Drosophila melanogaster: one gene and its partners. The protein of the gene in region 1 interacts with the protein of each later gene in a pairwise test. Each region holds a gene or a part of one and is shown in the gene's direction. Other genes may lie near its edges.

Region 1 (5,068 bases):
TGCTGGATAGCTTCTTTTACAACCTGAGTGACCACCAGTTCGCCATGAAGTGGAACGTGTACGCATGGCCGCACCAGATAATGGTGCGATTATCGACATTGAAGGACGAGCAGAAGGTGGACATCGAGGACTTTCTCCGCCTGCACGCCAGCGAGTGCCAAGCGTTCGAGGAGCGTCTGGAGTCCCTCAACGACGAGGTGCAGGCCTACTCACTGGCGTTTAACACGAACCGCGCACAGGAGACGTCAGTGGACATTAAGAAGACGTGGGCTCTGATTAAGGAGCTCGAGAAGGTCAGCCAAACTCTGCAATTTCGGCAGGAGCTATTTGAGCTGGAGCCACTCTCTGTTGAGTTCCTGGAGAGCATAATCGCTAGCTTCACTCCCTACAAGAACCTGTGGTACGGCTGCGCCAACTTTCTGAAGCTCGAGGACGCTACCTTGGGCAACCCGATAGCGCAACTGGACTTGGAAGATGTGTGGAATAACTTGATGAGGCTTCGCGACGAACTCAACGAGTCAATGAAAATATTTCATGAAAAAGTCGAGATCATGGATGTGGCCAAAACGTTCATTGCAAAGATCGACGATTTCGTTCCAGTTTACAACAGCATTAAGGATATCCGAAATGAGAACTGGATGTACATTCACTGGCAAGAACTAAGCGCGATAACTGGCCAGGAGATTAAGTACTCAGTGGCGATGAACTATCAGTACCTCATTCGTAAGGGCATCTTGGACGTCCTGCCCGAAGTCCACATCATCTCGGAGAAGGCCAACAACGAGGCGGAGGAAATTCGGCGAGCCATCGAGGAAGAAGAGAGGCGAAAGCAGGCCGAATTGAATGCTATGTTGTTGCGCAAACAGCTCCGCAAGTGTCGCCGGGATATACTATAGTTTGTTGTTGAAATCGTTCGTTAGTTCCTGCCCGAAACATTTCTGGGCAGGCTCAGGGCGTGGCTCGACCGGGGTCTTGGATAGTGTTCTGTGTTGTCCTTCTTATATCATTTATTCGTAGAGTAAAATGCTATACTAAAGTAGTCATAAAAGGCGGAAGGAAGCATGTATGTACGACCATATAAAGTATATATACTTTTTACCAGGATCAATAGCCGCTATACAGTCATAGCATATTATAGTCACAGTAGGGTTAATGCAAATCATGGTTAGATCTACAATGATTTAAGATTAGGGGTATGTAATTTCAAGTGAATCTGCTTGGAACACAGAAATGTTGTAAATAACAGTGAGAACTAACATTATTAGCAAATATTAAAACATAACCATTAGGAACATTGAATTTTTCCAAATGAATTAAAAAAGAGCCATTTCCTCACAAAAATTATTTGAACACATCTTGTTGAAACAAGAAATTCTTCTGTTCCCGCCCAAGTTTTGAAACACTGGTAATCAAGATTATCTTAAAAATCCATATCCATAGACTTTTTCATTTAATCTTCTATTAAGACCACTACCAACTACATGGCAAACCGTTACAAAATCAAAATCTCCTTTGAATCTATATCTGCGAAGCATATTGGCGAGGAAGGAAGCTACATACATATGTATGTAGTGTAAGTTATACGACGACGCTTACTCCATTTGGCGGGTATCTGAAACGGAAGCCGTTTAACAAAAGTTTTAATATATTGCTCTAAAAACTCCTATATGTGCTATCGTACAAATCTTTAAATACTTCTAAAAAAAAAACCATATTTATTTTTAATTTTTAAGTTGTTTGGACCTTAATAAGAAATATTTATTTATAAGACATAAAAAAATTATTAAAAAAATGATATTTTTATTGAAACAGAACAGTATTATTATAGTATTTATGGAATTTTTTTATGTATCGGAATGGTCACACTGCTGCGTTGTGTTTCTTGTAAAATTTTTGTCCATCGCAATAGCTGCTGCTTATTTCTGCATTTCTGAGAAACTACAATGGCAGATGACACAAATGAGGACAGCTGGCTGTATGGCACCTCGAATCCTGACTCGACGACCGGCGAGCTGGGCAACGGCGGGGATTCTCTGACGGCGGAGCACGAGTCGGCGGCGGCTGAGGCTCAGGCATTGGCCGAATTGGTGGCCGGCGAAAAGCCGGGCGCTTCGGCCGGAACTAACTCCACTGAAGACTCGCCGCGCTGTCCAAAGGAGGAGGTGCCCGAGTACTCGGAGTTCGACGATCCCGCGCAGGAAATGGAGGAGGACGAGGATGCCTTGCCCAACACGGACAGCAGGAGCAGGAGGGAGCGCGACCGAGAACGGGATCGTGGTCGGTGCGCGGACAGGGCCGACGCCCGATCATCGCCAGACCCAGAGGACGACGAGATGAGCGATGGTCCTGCCGCGAGGAGAGAAAGGAACGGCTCAGGGTCCGATGATGATGAAGACGACGACTCTGACGACGATATCAACGTGGTTATCGGAGACATTAAACAGGCCCCCAGCACCTACAACATCAAGCAGCGACCCAACCTGCTGGCTGGAGGCACTGGTGCTGCCGGAGACAAGGCCAAGCCGGCTGGTCAGGCAGGGAAGTTTAGCATCGAGGACTTCGAAGGTGCCGGCACCATCAACGGAGTGGCCGTGCACGAGTTCAGTATCGATTCGCTTGAGGAGAAGCCGTGGCGAAAGCCGGGAGCGGATATTACCGACTACTTCAACTATGGCTTTAACGAAGAGACGTGGCGCGCCTATTGCGAGCGCCAGAAACGCTTCCGCGTGGCGGAGAGTGGTGTCGGACTGGCCAGCCTCACTCAGAATGTGAATCAGAATGCCCCCATTGGAATCCTCACAGATGGCGGTATGGGCATGGGCCCTCCCGGAATGCACAGTATCCAGTCCATGGTGGGAATGGGCGGTGAAAGCGGCATGCAAATGCCCCCGCCGGGAATGCCGCCGCCTATGATGCAACACCAGTCGCGATCCGGGATGGGATTGATGCAGCGCCCGCCAAGACCCATCTCAACCACAGGCGGCGATAGGGGAGGTGACCGGGAGAGAGCCGTTAAGGAGAACGCCATTCAGGTGATGACCGCCGAGTGCCGCGAGTATTCTCGTGGGGGATTGGGACCCATGGCGCCAAACTTCCCGCTACCCGGCGCCTCTGAGGAACCCTTCTTCCACGAGCCAGAACCCTTTGACTACGGCTATGAGCCCACCCAAGAGTCGCAGTGGAACAATGACAATGCCGGATGGGTACCCAGCGGGATTAAAGAGCTTACTCCTGGTCATGCTCATATGCAACAACCTCCGCCTGGCATGCCGCCTCCTGGGATGAGTGTGCCACCGCCGCAGATGGGCGGTCCACCACCCAATTTGCGCGGCATTATGCCACCCAACATGCGCATGCCGCCAAATATGAGTGCGTTCAGCATATTTATATTTATCATGTCCTGGACCCGGCTTATCTATGTTTTCTCTTGCAGACATGGGACCGCCACCAGGAATGATGATGGGAGGAAATGCCCCGCCACAGATGCGAATGGGTATGGCACCGCCACAGAGATTGGCCATGGGCGGTAAGAACACAACTAACATAATTAAGCTACTCTTACGTCATATTCTTGCAATTTGTTTGTTAAGCTAAATGCTAATCTGACGATCCTAACGCAGTCCTTTTTATGAAAATGCCTTTTTCCTATACGTTTCAGATCGTGGCGCCTACGACGACGATCGTGAGCGCAGGAGGCGCGAGAAGGAAAAACTGTTGAAGAAAGATCAGGTATGTTTTATACATAAATATCAAGTCATGGAATTATAATTATCATTTTTGTACAGCTGAGAAAGGACTTCCTTGACATGCTGCGGGAGCGACATGACATCGAAAGGCACACCAGGTGGTACGATATTAAGAAAAAGTTTGAGGCGGATCCAAGGTACCGAGCCCTGGACTCGTCCTATCGTGAGGAGTACTTCGAAGACTATTTGCACCTGCTGAAGGAAGAGAAGCGCAAGGAACGTGACCTAAAGGAACGTGAACGACATCGCGACAAAGAGCGGTCTCGTGACAAGGACAAGGATAAAGATAAAGAAAAGGACAAAGATAAAGATAAGGATAAGGAAAAAGATAAAGAGAAGGATAAGGACAAAGATAAGGAGAAGGAAAAGGATAAAGAGAGCTCCCGTCGGGAGCGCTCTCGATCTCGCGAAAAGTCCAGCCGTCGCAAGTCCAAGTCCCGTGAGAAAGATCGAAGCGAACGAAGCAGCAAGAGTAGCAGCAGCAATACCGGAGGATCCTCCAGTCGTAGCGAAAAGAAAAAATCGCATCGCAAGGACAAAGAAGAGGACGACTAGCATTTGGTTAGGTACTTTATGGAAGTGAAGCAAGAAGAAATCCACTAAGTTGTAGAACATATTAATAAAAACAAAAATCAAACTAAATGTTTTATAACGCCGTTGGTCAGTTTAAATATATGTACGTTAGGTTTTCAATAATTCAATGTGAATAAGCCCTTAAATTTAATAAAGGTGACATGTGCGATCATGTGGTATTCTTGTGGTATTCTTGATCCGTGTCATCAGACGAGTCGATGGATGTTTGTTTTCAAATTAAAACATCCCAACCCTTTTCTTTTTATTTTTGGGATTAAATTGGCCCACTATATAATATAGTTGGCACAGAAAAAATGGAAAAACACCATTAACGAGATCTCGACGTTCATACGAACGAAGAGAGGGACGTGGGATGGATTGACACTTATTTGCATTTTTCAATACTAAAAATGGGTTATTAACATAAATAATGAAATCACGAAGAAACTATAAATTCAATAATATAGTAATCGAATTAGAAAATTACAGCAACCAAAAATAAAAAATAGTACGGTACAGCCAAACAAATAGTAAAGTATTGATGATAAAAAGGAGTGCAATTAAAGTTACACGCGAGAGGTATATTTTGCCGTTTACCTTTTCAATTATCCTTCTGCTGATAAGAAAGCTAGACAGACAACGATTTGGGCGATGGCAAATGTATTTAGACGCATTTAATTAGTTCGCCTTGATCATTGAAATTTTTTTAAAATTTTTTTTAGATCAATTGAACAATAAATAATTAAATA
Region 2 (4,172 bases), on another chromosome or scaffold:
CTCAGGGCTGTTGTGGCAGACGATTTACGAGGCAGGCCAATAACAATTGGTCGCCAATGTTATTGGATGAGTTGTGTTTTTTATTGGATCGGAAGACAAAGTTCGGAGGTCGAGCTGACTTAAGCCTTATTGGCTTAATACGTGCGGCTTTCTCCATTGACGTCACTGGTGAAATGTGAGCGGTGTGCTGATGAAACTAGTTCAATGTCGCTGGCCCACTATGACGTCACCGTTGGCAGACATCGCTCATCCGCCACGTCGGCCCAGTCGGCCCAGTCGTCCCAGCCGGCCGGCCTTTGGAATGGGCGTAATATATGGGATCCGCTCGAGATTCGGTGTTCCTCACTCCCACTATCAACCAGCAACATCCATGACCCGATATGCCTTCCAGAAACTTCCCTGCGCCACGTGTCGCGTGTCTGGCGTGCGTGTTTGTAAACAACTGCACTGCCATGTCCTTTTTACTATCAAAACAACAGGACACCAGGGCGCAGGCGCTGGAAGGCTATGCACATTCCACACGGAACAGAGGCTGGAAGTCCTGGAAGGAGGAACGAGAACACAGAGCCCAACACTCCAGGGCGTTCAAATGTGTATACTCGATGTCCTGACTTAAATATTACTTATGATAACAAGTTAAGATAAATAAATATAAAGTTAATATATAGCTTTGTCTAAAGAAACTACCTTGACAAAATGACTGCAATAAATGTTTATATTAAATTCATAAACATTAATTCTAGAAAAGAGCACTAGGCTTTGTGTACTTTTTTTTTCCAAATATTTGTGTTTTCTTCTTCTTTTTTTACAAAAGAAATCATTCATTTATTGAAATATTACTAGTTGTTAACTGGGCCTTATATTCCGGGACGCCACTGTCGCGTTGGGGATGCCCTGCTCTTGCGCACTTTTATTGACAATTTCTTTGTTGTCTGCTCCCCGTTGGTGTTGCTTTTTGGCTCAAATTGCCTGGTTACCGCAGTCATTTGGCCAAGTGGCAAAATCAATAGAGGGAGTTGGAGATGCCAGGAAACAGAAGCCAGGAGCCCATTACCTTATTATAATTGGGAGTATTATCAATCGCAGGACGGCACACACATGAAATGAAACGCCGCCTGCCGCAGGAAATGCGTGGAAGCCAGGAGCCTCTTACTGCTTTTTACTCCAGTTGTAGGAACCGTTGTAGAAAAATAAAATCAATATTATCATTTTGGCGTGCATATTGAGGACAGTCATTGCACTTGGTTTCGCAACACTTGGTTTCCGCTTGTATTTAAGGCATTAACTAAGGATTTCGGACCCCGTTTAGCGTTTAGTTTTTGTGCCTTTTGCGTTTGAGTGTCATTTAACGATGAGTTCGCAAACTCTTGAAAACACGCCTATGACACAAAACTTTCAGGGAGATATGGGAAATCTCTGTTTTTCGCTTAACTTCACAATTTATTATAATTTAGTTTGTATTTAATATGTCCATTTATTTCGAGGATGTGCTGCACAGTTGGACGTGAAAAACTCGACTGTGGCTTACGAACTGAATGAGCACAGCATTTCCACTTTCCAGTCCGATTTCCAGTAACCTTCCAACCACTGATTCCCGTTATGCTTTGTTGCTTGAACAAGCCTTCTCCGTGTCCTTAGAAGTTCGACCTGACGTCGTCCTTTGTTGAGCAAGAAAAATATGACTGCCTTCTTTCAACAAAATATTAAAAAGATTATTTACTACCATTTAAACTCTACTTGACCACTTGAGTTCTTTGGGCAAATAATCTACCAATTCACTTTTAATGTATACTTTTTTTTTTAGAATTCTTCGCTTTAATTATAGAAGATTTTTAAAAAATTATTTAAACATAAAAACAACCAATGAGCATAACATGTCATGGAACTGATTTCGAATATAAGGAATTTTACAAACATGACTCGGCGATAATTCCAGCAAGATGTTGTGCTTATGAGAACAATGTCAACGCGGATTTTGAGCCACAGCGCAGTCCGACTTTCATTACTGGCAATGGCAATCCTGGCGAGCGTTGGACAAGCGACCGACCGATCCGAAGGAAGATCAGTACGCAGGTACTCATATGCGGATACCTCGTGGCCCAGGCGGCCGTTCGGCAGCGAGCGAAGGGACTTGGCGCCTTCGGAGCAGCGATACTTCTCCGATCCGGAACTGCTCTTCCAGCGGCTGGACGACATGGAGCAGAAATTGGGAATTCCAGAAAAAATGGCTGCTGCTGGCAAGGTGAAATCGGAACACTATCTGGTTGGTCCCACGAATGTTGCCGCCCAGATGCTCAAAGATAACTTGTACAAATTTCCGATTGATGACGGCGCCATTGGACAGGGAATGCACGATGATTGTCTGGGTAAGGAGGATGTGGATGATCCCTTCGAGTCCCTGGCCAGGATGAACTTCAATGAGCATTTGAATGAGCGTAAGTCCGATCGTGAGCTCAAGAGGGTGCTGGGTGGCTACTTAAACGACCAGCAGCTGGATGGAAAACCAGCTGTGGCAACAGCCAATTTGCTGGCCAAGGTCATTAGCTCCAAGGTCGATCAGCCCAGGAAGTCTGGGCCTTGTCGTGGCACCACGGCTCGATCCCACGGGTTCACCACAAGAAGCCCTACGACTCATCGGACGACCCTTAGTACCACAACGCGCAGTCCCACCACTTTCTGCCTTCCGGAACCCTCATCCGATCCTCCGCTCAAGCCGCTTCCCACATCTCCACCAACACCTCGTCCTCCGCCTTCCGCACCTTCGCGTCCACCAACGACGCGAAAGCCATCTGCTCAAAGGATTAAGCCCAGTAATAAGTGCCCCATATCGACGAAATCTCAAAAGCTAGGAGGTGCCAAGGTGCTGCTGGAAATCATTTTGGCCACCAAGCAGCATGCCCTATCGGTGCTCAAGAATCTCAACTACCTGGAATTGGAACTGCTAAGTCACTCAACGGACGACGATGTATCGGAGAACCACGTTAAAGAGAAAGAACCAACAACAAAGACGTCTGAACGTATCGAAAAACCCGAGCCAAGGCCACCATCCAGGGTATTTTCCTTTGGAATTCGACCAGCGAGCCAAAAAGAGAGCTTGTACGACTTGGCAGTGGCCAAGGAGGAGGAGTTGAAACTGCAGGATCGGGTGTGGGAGGAGCACCAGCAGCAGATGAAGCTAAGGAGGCCAATGAAGCCAAAGAGGTTTGAGGTTGCTCCGGCGGCTGCTGCACGCCTGGAACCTTTTCAGGAGCCTCGAAAGCCACTGAAGTCCATAAATTCCATGGAGCCTTTTACTCCTTTGGAACCAGAAACCTCCGACGACAACAGACGTATCAATCTGGAAGCCTTGAGCGTGGTAGTCAAGCCAATGTCCTCCTTTCCCAGAAAGGATTCTCTTAGCTCGTCGCCGCGAGCACAAATGAATGCTGTTCAATTGGAGGGCACAAGCGATGATGAACTGCATCCAGGCAATACATTTGAATTGAGACCAAGAAAGAAGAAAAAACACAAGTTGTACGCTATGGAAAAGCAGACACAGACTAAAAAGCTACCCATTGCAGGAGTTTTTTATTAAGTCATTTGTATAAATATTAACAGAGTTTTATTGAAACATTTATTCAACACTTAAATATATTTTAAAAATAAGAAGTTTGAATTTTGGCGCCAATACGTTAACCCTAAGACAGTGCTTGCTTATAGCTTTTCGTATTTATATGCCACTTGACGTATTTTTTGACATCCAGCCCACGGTCTCACTAGAAGGCGCCGAAAATTTTAGAAACGTCAAGCGAGAATGAACTCCCGTATTGTTGTGTTAAAAGGAACTTCGTTCGGGATCATCGGAATATTCATTTCTCAGGAAAACCCCAATAGTCTCATTTATGCAGTTTGCAGTGCATATCTTGCTGAGACTCGATTTTTATTAATTGTTTAATAGTTTGGTAAGGACAGAAAACTCACAATATCGCATTACGACACATTCTTTGTATTTGCACAAACGAAATCAAATTCTAAAATATAGATCAAAATAATTTAATTCTGCGTCTGCGCCGCCGCTTTCGTCCATCTCTTTCTCGTCTCTATTCTCTTTATTTTTTGCCCCTTGTCCGTCTTATTTTTCTAGCCCTGTGTTTGCCAATTTTATTGTGCACACTGAAAGAATAACGCGGAAC
Region 3 (4,883 bases), on another chromosome or scaffold:
AAATAATGACAACTTCTCTTTTGGTTTGCCTTTCGTTTAAAACTTAATCAGGTTATCAAGTAAGCGTAACTACAACCTACAATTGGAAATTTTATATGTTTTTGCAATAATAAACATCAGATTGTTGGTTATACTTTAAGGTTTCCATCAGCTTAATAATCAATTTAATTTAAGCAGCTCGAGCAATGACATAGATTTTAAAATTGGTTAATTTGAGAGAGTATTAGATGATAGGCTTCTACTTTTATTTGAGGTGTTTAACGCGTTCTGTCATAGCAACGCTTCGAAAGCTAATATAAAGGCAATTAAGAGTGTCTGGAGAAACTTCACGTAATCTGCGGGATCTCAAGTTATTAAAAATATGTTGTAATGAAGGGAATGTAGTTTTTAAGAGACCACAGAAGTCGTTTTTTTTTTTTATTTCGCACACATTTCGTACAATGTATGCAAACGAATCGCAAAGGAAATATCAAATCGCTTGAGGCTTTAAGAAAACCACATTCACAACAGTTTCCACAGTCTGTGATCCAGGCATGTCATTTGACATTTCACCAAAAAAAAAAAAACGAAAAAAAAGAAGAGAATAACAACAAAAACACAAAGAAAGCAAAATATAACCAAAGCAAATAAAATAAAATATTTTGCGAAGAAGCCGAACAAAAAATGAAGACAGACTTTGTTGTCCTTGTCAGCGTGGCTACAACTTCCTTGGCCCAGGACGACGTCGGAAGTGCCAGCGGAAATGAGTAAAAAACCTACAACTCACTCAAAATTCCCGCTCACTCCCATCTCACTCGCACTCGAACAATGGGAAATTCCGTTTCGAGTGAAATTTTGTGCCACAAACGAACGCACTTCGGCTGCTTTCGGCCATCGCCTCGTATTCCCACTCACTCGACATTGAGCGTTTGTGGAGCATCCTCAGAGATGCCAAATATTTTGGGGGGGAAAAAAAGCTGAAAATAATTATTTTCCAATTTCTTAAGGTTCGCATGAAACCCGTATACTTGCATCATTGTTTAACGTTTTGGTGAAATGTTGTGATAAAATGAGTTTAAGTTTTAAAATAAATCGCACTATTTTTTGGCTCTTTACCATATCAAAATGTATATACTAAAATGAGCTTGAAAGTGGGCGGCGAAAATATGTTGATGTTAAGAAATGCATCTGGATATCGAGCAGACGTTTCCCATAATTTATTTTTATTAAGTTTTTATTTCTTAATCTCTATAGAAAAGCAAGATATTATAGATCACTGTCAGTTTTCATATTCACATCCGTAAATCTAATAGGAAACAATTTTTGTTTAAAAGAAATAATTAAAAGCTAAGATCCGTCATAAATAGTACTGTCAATTTGAGAGGCTAGAAAAATAAGATAATACATATCAGCTTATAATTTTTAAATTTCTTTTCGGGAAATTAATTTTTAAGCGTGGGAAATGGACAAAAATTGCTAGATTCTCGCAAGTATTTTATTTTATGGTGTGATATTCTTCTAAAATTAGATATTTTTATTAATACGTATTTTTTTTTTTAACAAGTGGAATCCAATTAGTTTGTTTTATTATGTTAATGATTGTTAGTATTAAAAAAAAAACTTCTATAGATATTGGGCAAACAACTCAATCAATTTTAGGTAGTAACATAATAAAGTAATAAATACGAATACAATTCTTTTTGGTTGATAGAAAAGAATAAGACAGTGAGCGGCTGGAAAAACTAGCCAGAGTTGTCGGGAAAGCCGGCTAAGTAAGCAGCACTGGCGGGTCGACAACAGCAGTGGCAGCATCCGCCGTGGCAGCGGCAACAGTCGAGCGGCAGACTCGATGCAGCAGAGCCACAAATTCCGGCATTACGTATACGCCCAGTCTACGTCGAGTTGGCCACGTGTACGGACACGCGGCGCGGTTCGCTTTCTCCGGTGACAGCACATTCGATATTAACGTTTCACTACCAAAAAAAAAAAAACATCGCGATTGGTTGCTAATAGACAAGCACCAGAGATACGATTTTAAAATCTTAAGGTTTTGCTTTTGTTCAAAAGAAATACAAATTTTTTTGTTTGGTTGTTTGTGTGACAGTGACAGTGCCAGTGTGAAAGTGTGTGTGTGTGAAAAGCTTGCCGGCTTGAAAAATGCGCGCCAAAAATTGAGATATTTTCGCGGAGCGCAGCGGCAACAAAAACAAATAAAAACAACATTTCGCAACGCAGCCAAAGGAGGCGACAACACGCAAATAGTAATATATACATATATATATAAATTAAACATATGCACATATACATATATATATTAGATGGCAGCTTTGCAATGTAAACAAATTATATTTCCGTGTTTTCTTAAAATAACAAATCTATTTGCCGATATTTACCAATTAATTAGTGGGCTAGTGACAATATTAAGTTGCAAAGGATAACAATTATAAAATAAATACGTATACTGCTGCATTCCGCATAATAGGCAATAAATATGTTTGCGAATATATTAATCAAATCAAGGCATTATGGCTGTGGTAGCTGAATGAAATTTGCATAAATCAAGCTTCAATGATCCAGAGGGCACATTAGTCTCTTTTAGCCTGTAGTTGTAAAAGTTGTTCGGTTTTAGCCAACAAAATGGAAATGAAAAGGCAAAAAGTGGATGTGTCATAAAAATTCCTTTTGCACAGAAGGCGTCCATTATGCGGATTCTAAAGCAATATTAAAATAATCTCTAGTAATTTCCTAGTAAGTGCCCACTTAAATGAGTTTTTCTTTTTTATTAGTGCGCTTTAAGTCTTTGATTTTATTTTAATGCGTCTTGGGATATATTTATACATATTATTAATTGTTAATTTGTTCAGCAGTTTTAGATCGAATATACTTGCGATTAAACATTTCTAAACATTTTGAAAAGTGTTCGATTTTTTGTTGTTTTTATTATTTATCTCATATAAGCTACAATATATGTTGAAAGATTTCGAATGAATGTTTAATTTAAACTATTTTGTCGCATTCGTTTGGAAACTTCGACCGTATTTTCTATGTATCCCGTATAGATAAGTTTGGGGCCACTTAGCGAATTGGCGGACATATTTTTAGACATAGCCCAAATAGTAAAAAAACAAGAGCAGAACGAGTAAGCGAAGAGGGGAAAATTGTATAAAAACCAAAGACACGAACGCAGAGGCTATAGAGAATTGGTGAAAAATGAGAGAAATTCATTAATAAAAGACAGCAACAAAAACAAGAGCAAAAATTAAACGGCTGCCATCAGGCTTTCCCACTTCTCTCACCAATTTTCCCTTTCGTTTTCCCGCTTTTCCTTGTCCACGGCACAGCTGTGATCACACGAAGAGAAAGAAAAAACAGAAGAAAATTCGGAAAAAAATGAAAATAAAAATTATTACATATGCGTAATGGGTATTTTGTGTTGTTGCTGCTGTTATTGAAGAAGATTTTCCAAGCTACAACTACAACAATTCCGTTAGCGCCAACTTTGACGAAGGTTTTCCATCGGCTTTTCTTTAAATACCCTCGCGAATACGCAGTGTATGGATTAGGGATTGATGAACTATGCTATTAGGTTAAATAAAAATATACTCCGCAAAACAATAATAATCATTTGGGCTTGCAAAACTGAATGCAATCTTTATTTATTGCATTAGTAGATTGAATAAATTAATTGTTTACGGGGTATTGTGTTGGTTGTTAATTGTCCATTAACTTAATTTCCCAGTGTTTTCTCTGTTTTGTTGCCGTCTCAATGAATTCACTAGACTTCCAATCGTCCCATCTCTTTCGCATGCTGTGCAGCCATCTCTCTCTATCGGTGGCTGACAAAGTTTTGCATTATGTTCATCTCGTCTGTCGCTCTTCTATATCCCATTCCCACATATGTGGCTCAAGGCTATCTTATACACGCACTTTCAGCGCCCTCGTCGATTTCTTAGTTTTTCTTCTCATTTTCCATTCATTTTTGCTGCTCCCATTTCGGTTTTCTTAAATTTTTTCAGCATGTTGCCCTCATAAATTTGGGCGAGGCAAACAAAATTTTTGTGGTAAACTTTTATTCACGAGGGTTTTTTTTATTTTTGAAGGGAAACTTCGATGGTAATTAATGGCATGTTGACCAGCTGGTCAAATAGGGAAAAGGATTATTCCTGCCTTTTAAGGACTAAAGTAAAGGATGAGTTCTTACTCCAAAAGAAAGCTTAAATCATATTATTTTCTTCTTCTGTGTATTCTTATTTTGTTCAAGAAGAATGTATCCAGCATTCAACAATTACAAATCAATGTTTAATAGCAATATTTATTTGTACTCCGTATTTTCTGAGTGTGATTATATTGTTGTTCAGATTTTCTCCATTGATTTTAATTCAACCATTTCGTTTTTGTGATCCTTTTAATTTTCTTAGCCATGTTGTAATTTCCCTTCTAGTTTTTCCACATTGGACTCCATTTAGTTTTATCTCTCTGCAGCTGTGCTGAGATTAAATTTTGTTCAATTTTTGTAACCATTTATTTCAATAAAATTAAGCCAAAAGTTTTTACAGTTAAGCCCAAACTTCCTTTGGCGATTTCGGTTAGCTTAACTGCTTTCCGCCTCCTTTGACCACCCATTTCCTTTGTGTCCCGAGCAACAGGTCCTCTCTCATTTGCTGGGATTTCTTCTTATTTATTATTTGTGTCTGTCCACAGTGTTTTCATTTCTTTCCCCGTATTATTTTTGGCCGCAAAAAAGTCTGATCTTAAAGCCTTTTTGCATTGTGCGGCGATTTTCGCAGCAATTTCCCGTGGAATGTGAAACTAATTGCAGCTGGACTTGGGTGGTTGGAAAACGCAATGGCATACAACTAATCAGAACGGAAAAAGAGCAGAAAAGCCTGGAAATGGGCATGCGA
Region 4 (6,253 bases), on another chromosome or scaffold:
ATGCACTTTCTATATATAGCCGCTACACTAGTATGGATTTTATGATCTTTGTCTGCGCCAAAGTTCACTGACTGCAGAAGGCGAAAATAGTTTTCCACATTTTAACGAGCTTCGGCAAGTAATAGCGAATTTTCTCTATTCATTTGGCTGATGTTCTCCTTTTAGTTTTCATATCAAATGTGCCTTTGCCTTTACAAAACGAGCGTAATTACAACTTGAATTCAAAATTTAGCAAACTATTCCAACGACGCTCGCTGAAAATCTGAATTTTCAGCTGTCTGAATATTTGCGAATATTTTTAACGATAAATACTGAAAAAGGAGGTTAACCAATTTGTTTCACTTGCGGCTGGCGAAAGTGACAACGGAAAAATCACTTCGGTGGACGGGGTGATTTTTACAAATGAGTTTCCGTATTTCATTGAATGCATATGCGATTGCATTCCTGCTATAAATATATTACACATTTTCACTTTCAGTTGGTGTTGCTCAAAACTGAGTCAATGCGATGCGTGGGCGGAATTGCAGCTGCAGTGGCTGAATTTTAATGATCCGACCAAGTGCCAAAAATAAAATTTAAAAAATATGCCAGCCAAGTGTCTAAATAAACGCGTCCATTTAAATAGATATGATGGCGAAAGTGTCAATCTAAATCTGCGTGGGCCGATGGCCAAATGCAAGGAGTCAATGCGCTCATTAAACAAACTAATCCGCGCAAGAAAAAACTGAAATCAAGAGGCAAAATCAATCATGAGAGCGGAAAGAGTTGACAGTCGTATACAAAAAACACAATAGTTCCGGAAGTTCAGGGACTTTGCACACTGAAGGTGAGTTAGTGAACCCACAAAAATGGAAATAAAACGACCTTGGGGGTTTGCCAAAATTGTGGCTAATATGTCAACATTCAGGCAAATAAAATGGCTAATAACTGACAAGAAAAACGATTGAGCAGCTATTACTAAAATATATTATGATTTTAGTGTTTATTCATTAAGAAATAATCCAAAAATTTGTAGCTGTTCGACTGGAAAGTTCTATAAGAGCAGTTTACATTTCGCAGAAACTTTAAATGCCAGTTCTTATTTAATATGTCAATTTAAAAGTTTCAGTTGAATGTATAATACATTTAAATTGCGTGATTGTTTGACTTTGACAACATATTTAAGCCACGTTAAAGCAACAATTTAGAAGGGGATAGCTTTTTATTAGCAAAGTACTAAACTGTGCTACGTGCAAACATCACTTTTATCTGACTCTTGACATTTCCTGCCAACGCTTCAAAACTTTGCAACTCTGCGCACTTGTTCAGCATTTAACCAGCATCGATAAGAATGACGGCACTTTCTCTTGCACTTTCTCCCGTTCGGAAAATGCAGTTTCCCAATAAATCTTAAAGCCTAAGTCTTTTGCTGCAGCTTATAGCTGCGTAGAAACTATACAAATGAGCGGCAATAAATTGCTGGAAGCTGCACTGCTGTGCGTGTGTTCAAGTCTATTTCTCGATTCAATTACGAAGGCGAAACTTCGTTTTCCGGCCACTAAAAGCGAGGAGATGGGTTGCACTACAGTGTCGTCCTTAAATGCGTTATTTTGAATTCAATCAGCTTTTTGCCGTCTAAAAGTATGCAGCACTAATCGGATATACGTTGAACTTTCACGGGAAATCTAAAAGTGCCAGGGCTTCAAAGGGACGAAGGGAAAAGTAAAGTATCGTGTACTCGATATTACGACACTTTCAACTATCGAAAAACCCGGTAGGCCAGTGAGTGTCAGAATTGATGGCACATCCTTCCATCGGCACTTGAGGCAAGTCATTCTTTCGAAAATTGTCGCAGCGAGCAGTGCTCTTGAAAAGTCATAAAAAGTAAAAAATTAAATTCCTCTCATTGAGTCGTTGTGTTCCGTGTCGAGCAGAGTACTTTGATTTTCGCTGTCCAGCACGCCGCGTGTGCCGTTCTCGTTTAGATCCACATACCAAAGTCCAGGCCCCGTTTCAACCAAGAACAACAACACCATCATCCATCACCCATTCGATTCCATACGGTTTTCCCATAAATTTTGAACAATCGAATCTTGACAAAATGGTTACCGACGCCCAGGACACCGTTGCACCTAAGACCAGCAGCACCAAGGAGGTGCAGTGCCAGCACTCCGGCGCCCTGGATGAGCCCCATGTCGAGGAGCTGGCTCTACCGGGCCCCGCCCCCTTGGCCACGCCCAAGAGCGGCCGCGTTGGCATCTTCAATGCCGAGGACTTCTTGTCCCGCGCCCAGTTGAACGACAAGATCAATAACATCTTGCGCTCGCCCACCAAGGCTCCAAATGGTGTGCGCCAGCGTTCCGTATTCACCAACAACAACCCATCGCCGGTGAGTAGAGTTGTCACTTCTCCATAGGATTGCCTTCATTTTGAAGGCATATGCAAAAAATCGTCTCTTTGATTTTTGCAAGTCATTTTTGCAAGTCATATTTTCTTAGCATTTTTTGCAAGTCATCTTTTCTTCCCATTTTTTGCAAGTGATCTTTGATGTACCATGTGATACCTTTTCCCTTACCAATCCCTAGCAAGCCACCATGCGCTTTGTGTCATCGATGAACAGCCCATTGGCTCCACGTATGAGCAGCCTTTCGCTGACTGGCGGAGTGAAGCGCGGCTTGGAGCGCGGCAACAGCAGCAGCAGCATGGGCAACAGCGCCAGCGTGGGCACCAGCACCTCCGTCCTGGCCAAGGAGTGCTCCAGCCAGACAAACAGCTGCGGCCGCAGCTACATGAATATGGGCATGCACGCATCTTCCCACTCGGGCTTCGGAGTCCTGCCGCAATCTGGTGCCGGCTACGAGACCATGGGCTGGAACATGGATGCCGGCAATATTACGCGCAGCGGCAAGAGTCTAACGGGACGCTTCAACTCTGGCTATGGCTATGAGGTGGATGGAGCCTACTGCATGGTAAGTGCTTTGATTTATTGCCCCGTGTTTCGTATTTTAGAAATATGCGATATCTACCTAGCCACAGGCACATCACACCCAGCAGTTCCCATCGCCAATGCCACCACCACCTTTTGCTATGGATCGCGTCAGCTCGCGCACTTTTGAGTTCGAGAACAACACACCACCACCGTGTCCAGGATCTGGACCGATTGCCATGTCCAATGGCACCATCCAGTTGCGCCTGCGCGAGGGCGTTCGGTAAGTGAACGTGGTAGGAGATTTATCCCTTGATCATCATTCCAAATCATTCCCGATTCCAGCATTGACATGACCCTGGACAAGGCTGTCCGTGTGCTGAATCAGCGCAGCATGGTTGCCGCCGCCTTATCGCGCAACTGCAGCAACTCTGCCCTCATCCATCCCAATGGGCGCATCTTGCAGAGCGGCTCCAAGGTGGAGATCGTCACCTACGACGGAATGAAGGCCAACAACTTTGTGTAAGCTTAGAAGTAGAATCGAACCTTTACTTTAAGAGTGGCAAACAACTAGTATTTTGGAATTTAAACTTGTACTTCTCATTAGATTTTCGTATAAAATCTATGCAACTATAGCTGCAATCATTTTCTTCCAGTCGCTATGCCAAAATGTGGTACAAGGGCGTTAGCTTCACCAGCGAGTCCTGTGCCCTCATCTATCTGGTGGACACAGCTGGCACTCGCACCACCACCGATACCTTCACCGACCTGACCAAGGACTACACCTTGGCGGTGTTCTATGAGTGAGTTAAGCACGAAATTTGCCCAAATCAATTCGCCAAGCTCCTCTTTCCAATTAACAACACCCTCCAGCGATTCGCGCCACGGCCCATCCTTTGTGTCCGATGCCCACGACGTAATCGCCAACTCCACCTACAATTGCGCCGAGGACGGCACCGAGGTGTATGACATCAATGGATTCCGCATCACCCAGGCGGCCGACGGCCTGGTCAAGGTCAGCCGCCAGCACAGCAAGTGCCTGATTCGCACCAGTCCGGGCAATGGATCCGCCACCCTGACCACCACCGGCATCCACTGCACGGCTTCGTTGGGCAAGACCTCGCACCTGTTCGTCCGGTGAGTTGGCCACTGCATCCACACCTATTTGCAATAATGATGCACTCGAAGAATGCATTGTTCTCGTCGTATATTTATTCGATTATAACACTGATAGTGTTTAATTGATTCCATACTTTTGCAGTAATTCAGTTAATCGGATATTTGAAGATTCCTTTTGTTCTTTTTTTTTTTGCAGTCGTAATGAGAAGCGCATGCACTTCGACGGATCCTGTTTCATTGTACGCAATGCTGGTCACTCGGCTGGATTCAATGAAAACAACCTGCTCATTGTCTACTAAGTACCGCTCGCACCATGGGATGTGCATCGCGTTGGGTGGCCATCCAAATGCCACCTATAGCCACCCAGCGTGGGCAATCGAAAATCACCCCATTATACCACCACCACACACACATCACAGAAAACACACACACGCAAACCGACTCAAGCGTCGATATAGTGACCCCCCCAAAAAAAAAAATCAAAAAATCCAAACAAAACAACATTGGAAAACTGGGGCCTCGGCGTGGAGAGGGATCAGATCATTTAAGAAAACCTGGTCTTCTAAACAAAAAAAATTATAAATGTATAACTGCATTTAAGATGAAACAGCTCGAAAAAATGCGCGAGCAACGAAAACTGGCGATCCTGATCCTTGAAGGATTGCTTTTCGATTGCTCGACGTAGGCGCAACGCAAACACTAGGGAATTAGTTTTAGATAATCACACTTACAATCTCTCTAGCCCTCGATATCCTTGTTTTTATACGCATACCGTTATTTAGTACAGGCAATTCAGGTGGAATAGGCTCTGGAAAATCCACCTGTTGCCTGAAACGCTGGCCAAGACAATGCTATTTCGATCAGGGCCAGCGTTTGGTGTTATAAAAAGAATGAACTTGGTTCGCGTTTCGCTTCTTTTCGGCCCTCACAGTATAGCAAAATTAAGTTTCCAACGATTTTTTAAACGTTCGACACGTACTTGAAATGCAACAAATTCAGCAAGATTGAAAATCGAAAGTTGCAAAATTTCCACAAAAAAAAAAAAATAAGCAAAAATTGATAAAATCGCTGATATCAAAATTAGCCTCTGCATGATAAAAAATTAGCTAACAAACGACGGCTGCTTTGGCCAACGTAACACCAGTGACAATTCAGTTAGTTCTAAGTTACCAGTTAAGATTAGTTAAGTTACTACAATCCAACCATGTTCATCCTCACACAACACACACACACTCTACAGCGCAAACGTTGCGTAAAATGTAAAATGAGTGGACTTAGTGCTTAAATTTCCAAGTGTAGACGGAATAGTACCACTACCACACTCGTGGAATACAGATACACGCACACATGCACAAGCACACACACACACACACACACACGACAGGCCAAAGTGAGAAATTGTGACTGAAATGGAATACAATTAATTAGCTTACGAAACAAACGCTTATCTGAAAAAGGCAGTCGTCTTTGAAAACAAAGTTAAAACACGTGCACACTTTTAAACACCATTCCTTAAAAAAAAAAAAGTGAAACGCCTTGCAATTATACCTGTGTAGCCTTACAACAACAATCTTCAAAACTCTAAATTTAATCCTCATGTATATCGAAATTTATGTGCACAAAAATCGATGTCAAAAAGTAATACATGAAAGTCCTGAATAAAGTAAATTCTATCTGCGCTACTGTAATAGATTCGTATAATTTTGTTAATTCTCATGGGTTAAATCTGGATCGAGATACAATTTTCAGCGGCTCCTGGCAACCATATATGACCTCATACCTTTCCTCTGGCATTGTAAAAGTACAAGAAAATTGCTTAACGACTACAATTCACATTACAACCCTGTTGGAGGAGTTGTGGCACCTGAAGGGCCATCAGGACTTGAAATCTTTTCGGGCTTAAAGAGTTTGCGAGCTATGTAAATATTTAAAGGAATGAATTGCACGTTTAAAAGTAATTGAATGTTTGCCAAAAAAGGTTTTCATATACAAATATTATAAAAGATGAGAGGTCTTCATGTTTACCTGCAAACAAATCCAAAAGCACAACGATATGGGATCGGCAGTCATGCAGACCAAGCTCTCCAACAGACTTAACCTGGAGTTGGAGCCGGAGGAGCGGCCCGTTGGCAGTGGCTGTTGATAGAGATTAGTGGATAATGCTGGGGCGGAACTATATGCCACGGCTGACTCTGTCATAGGAAGAAAGTGGTTCCATGGTTAGCGGGT

Evidence for each region.
Region 2: the proteins of Fip1 (region 1) and CG13871 interact in a two-hybrid assay, tested with the Drosophila melanogaster proteins (one large-scale study listed by BioGRID).
Region 3: the proteins of Fip1 (region 1) and Neto interact in a two-hybrid assay, tested with the Drosophila melanogaster proteins (one large-scale study listed by BioGRID).
Region 4: the proteins of Fip1 (region 1) and fest interact in a two-hybrid assay, tested with the Drosophila melanogaster proteins (one large-scale study listed by BioGRID).

Annotation. Positions count from the first base shown.
Region 1 is NT_033777.3:4,483,163-4,488,230, forward strand, and holds Fip1 (factor interacting with poly(A) polymerase 1), read left to right. Parts: upstream 1-1,845; 5' UTR 1,846-1,943; coding exon 1,944-3,369; intron 3,370-3,433; coding exon 3,434-3,526; intron 3,527-3,658; coding exon 3,659-3,729; intron 3,730-3,785; coding exon 3,786-4,301; 3' UTR 4,302-4,515; downstream 4,516-5,068. Other genes in the region: sac (sterile affecting ciliogenesis), read left to right, coding at 1-896.
Region 2 is NT_033778.4:20,315,397-20,319,568, forward strand, and holds CG13871 (uncharacterized protein), read left to right. Parts: upstream 1-1,926; 5' UTR 1,927-2,011; coding exon 2,012-3,574; 3' UTR 3,575-3,643; downstream 3,644-4,172.
Region 3 is NC_004354.4:13,444,038-13,448,920, forward strand, and holds the start of Neto (neuropilin and tolloid-like), read left to right. Parts: upstream 1-1,865; 5' UTR 1,866-2,240; intron 2,241-4,883.
Region 4 is NT_033778.4:19,340,004-19,346,256, forward strand, and holds fest (wurstfest), read left to right. Parts: upstream 1-1,805; 5' UTR 1,806-2,080; coding exon 2,081-2,368; intron 2,369-2,564; coding exon 2,565-2,948; intron 2,949-3,009; coding exon 3,010-3,188; intron 3,189-3,250; coding exon 3,251-3,427; intron 3,428-3,561; coding exon 3,562-3,708; intron 3,709-3,778; coding exon 3,779-4,042; intron 4,043-4,220; coding exon 4,221-4,323; 3' UTR 4,324-5,751; downstream 5,752-6,253. Other genes in the region: Rgk1 (Rad, Gem/Kir family member 1), read right to left, coding at 6,050-6,094.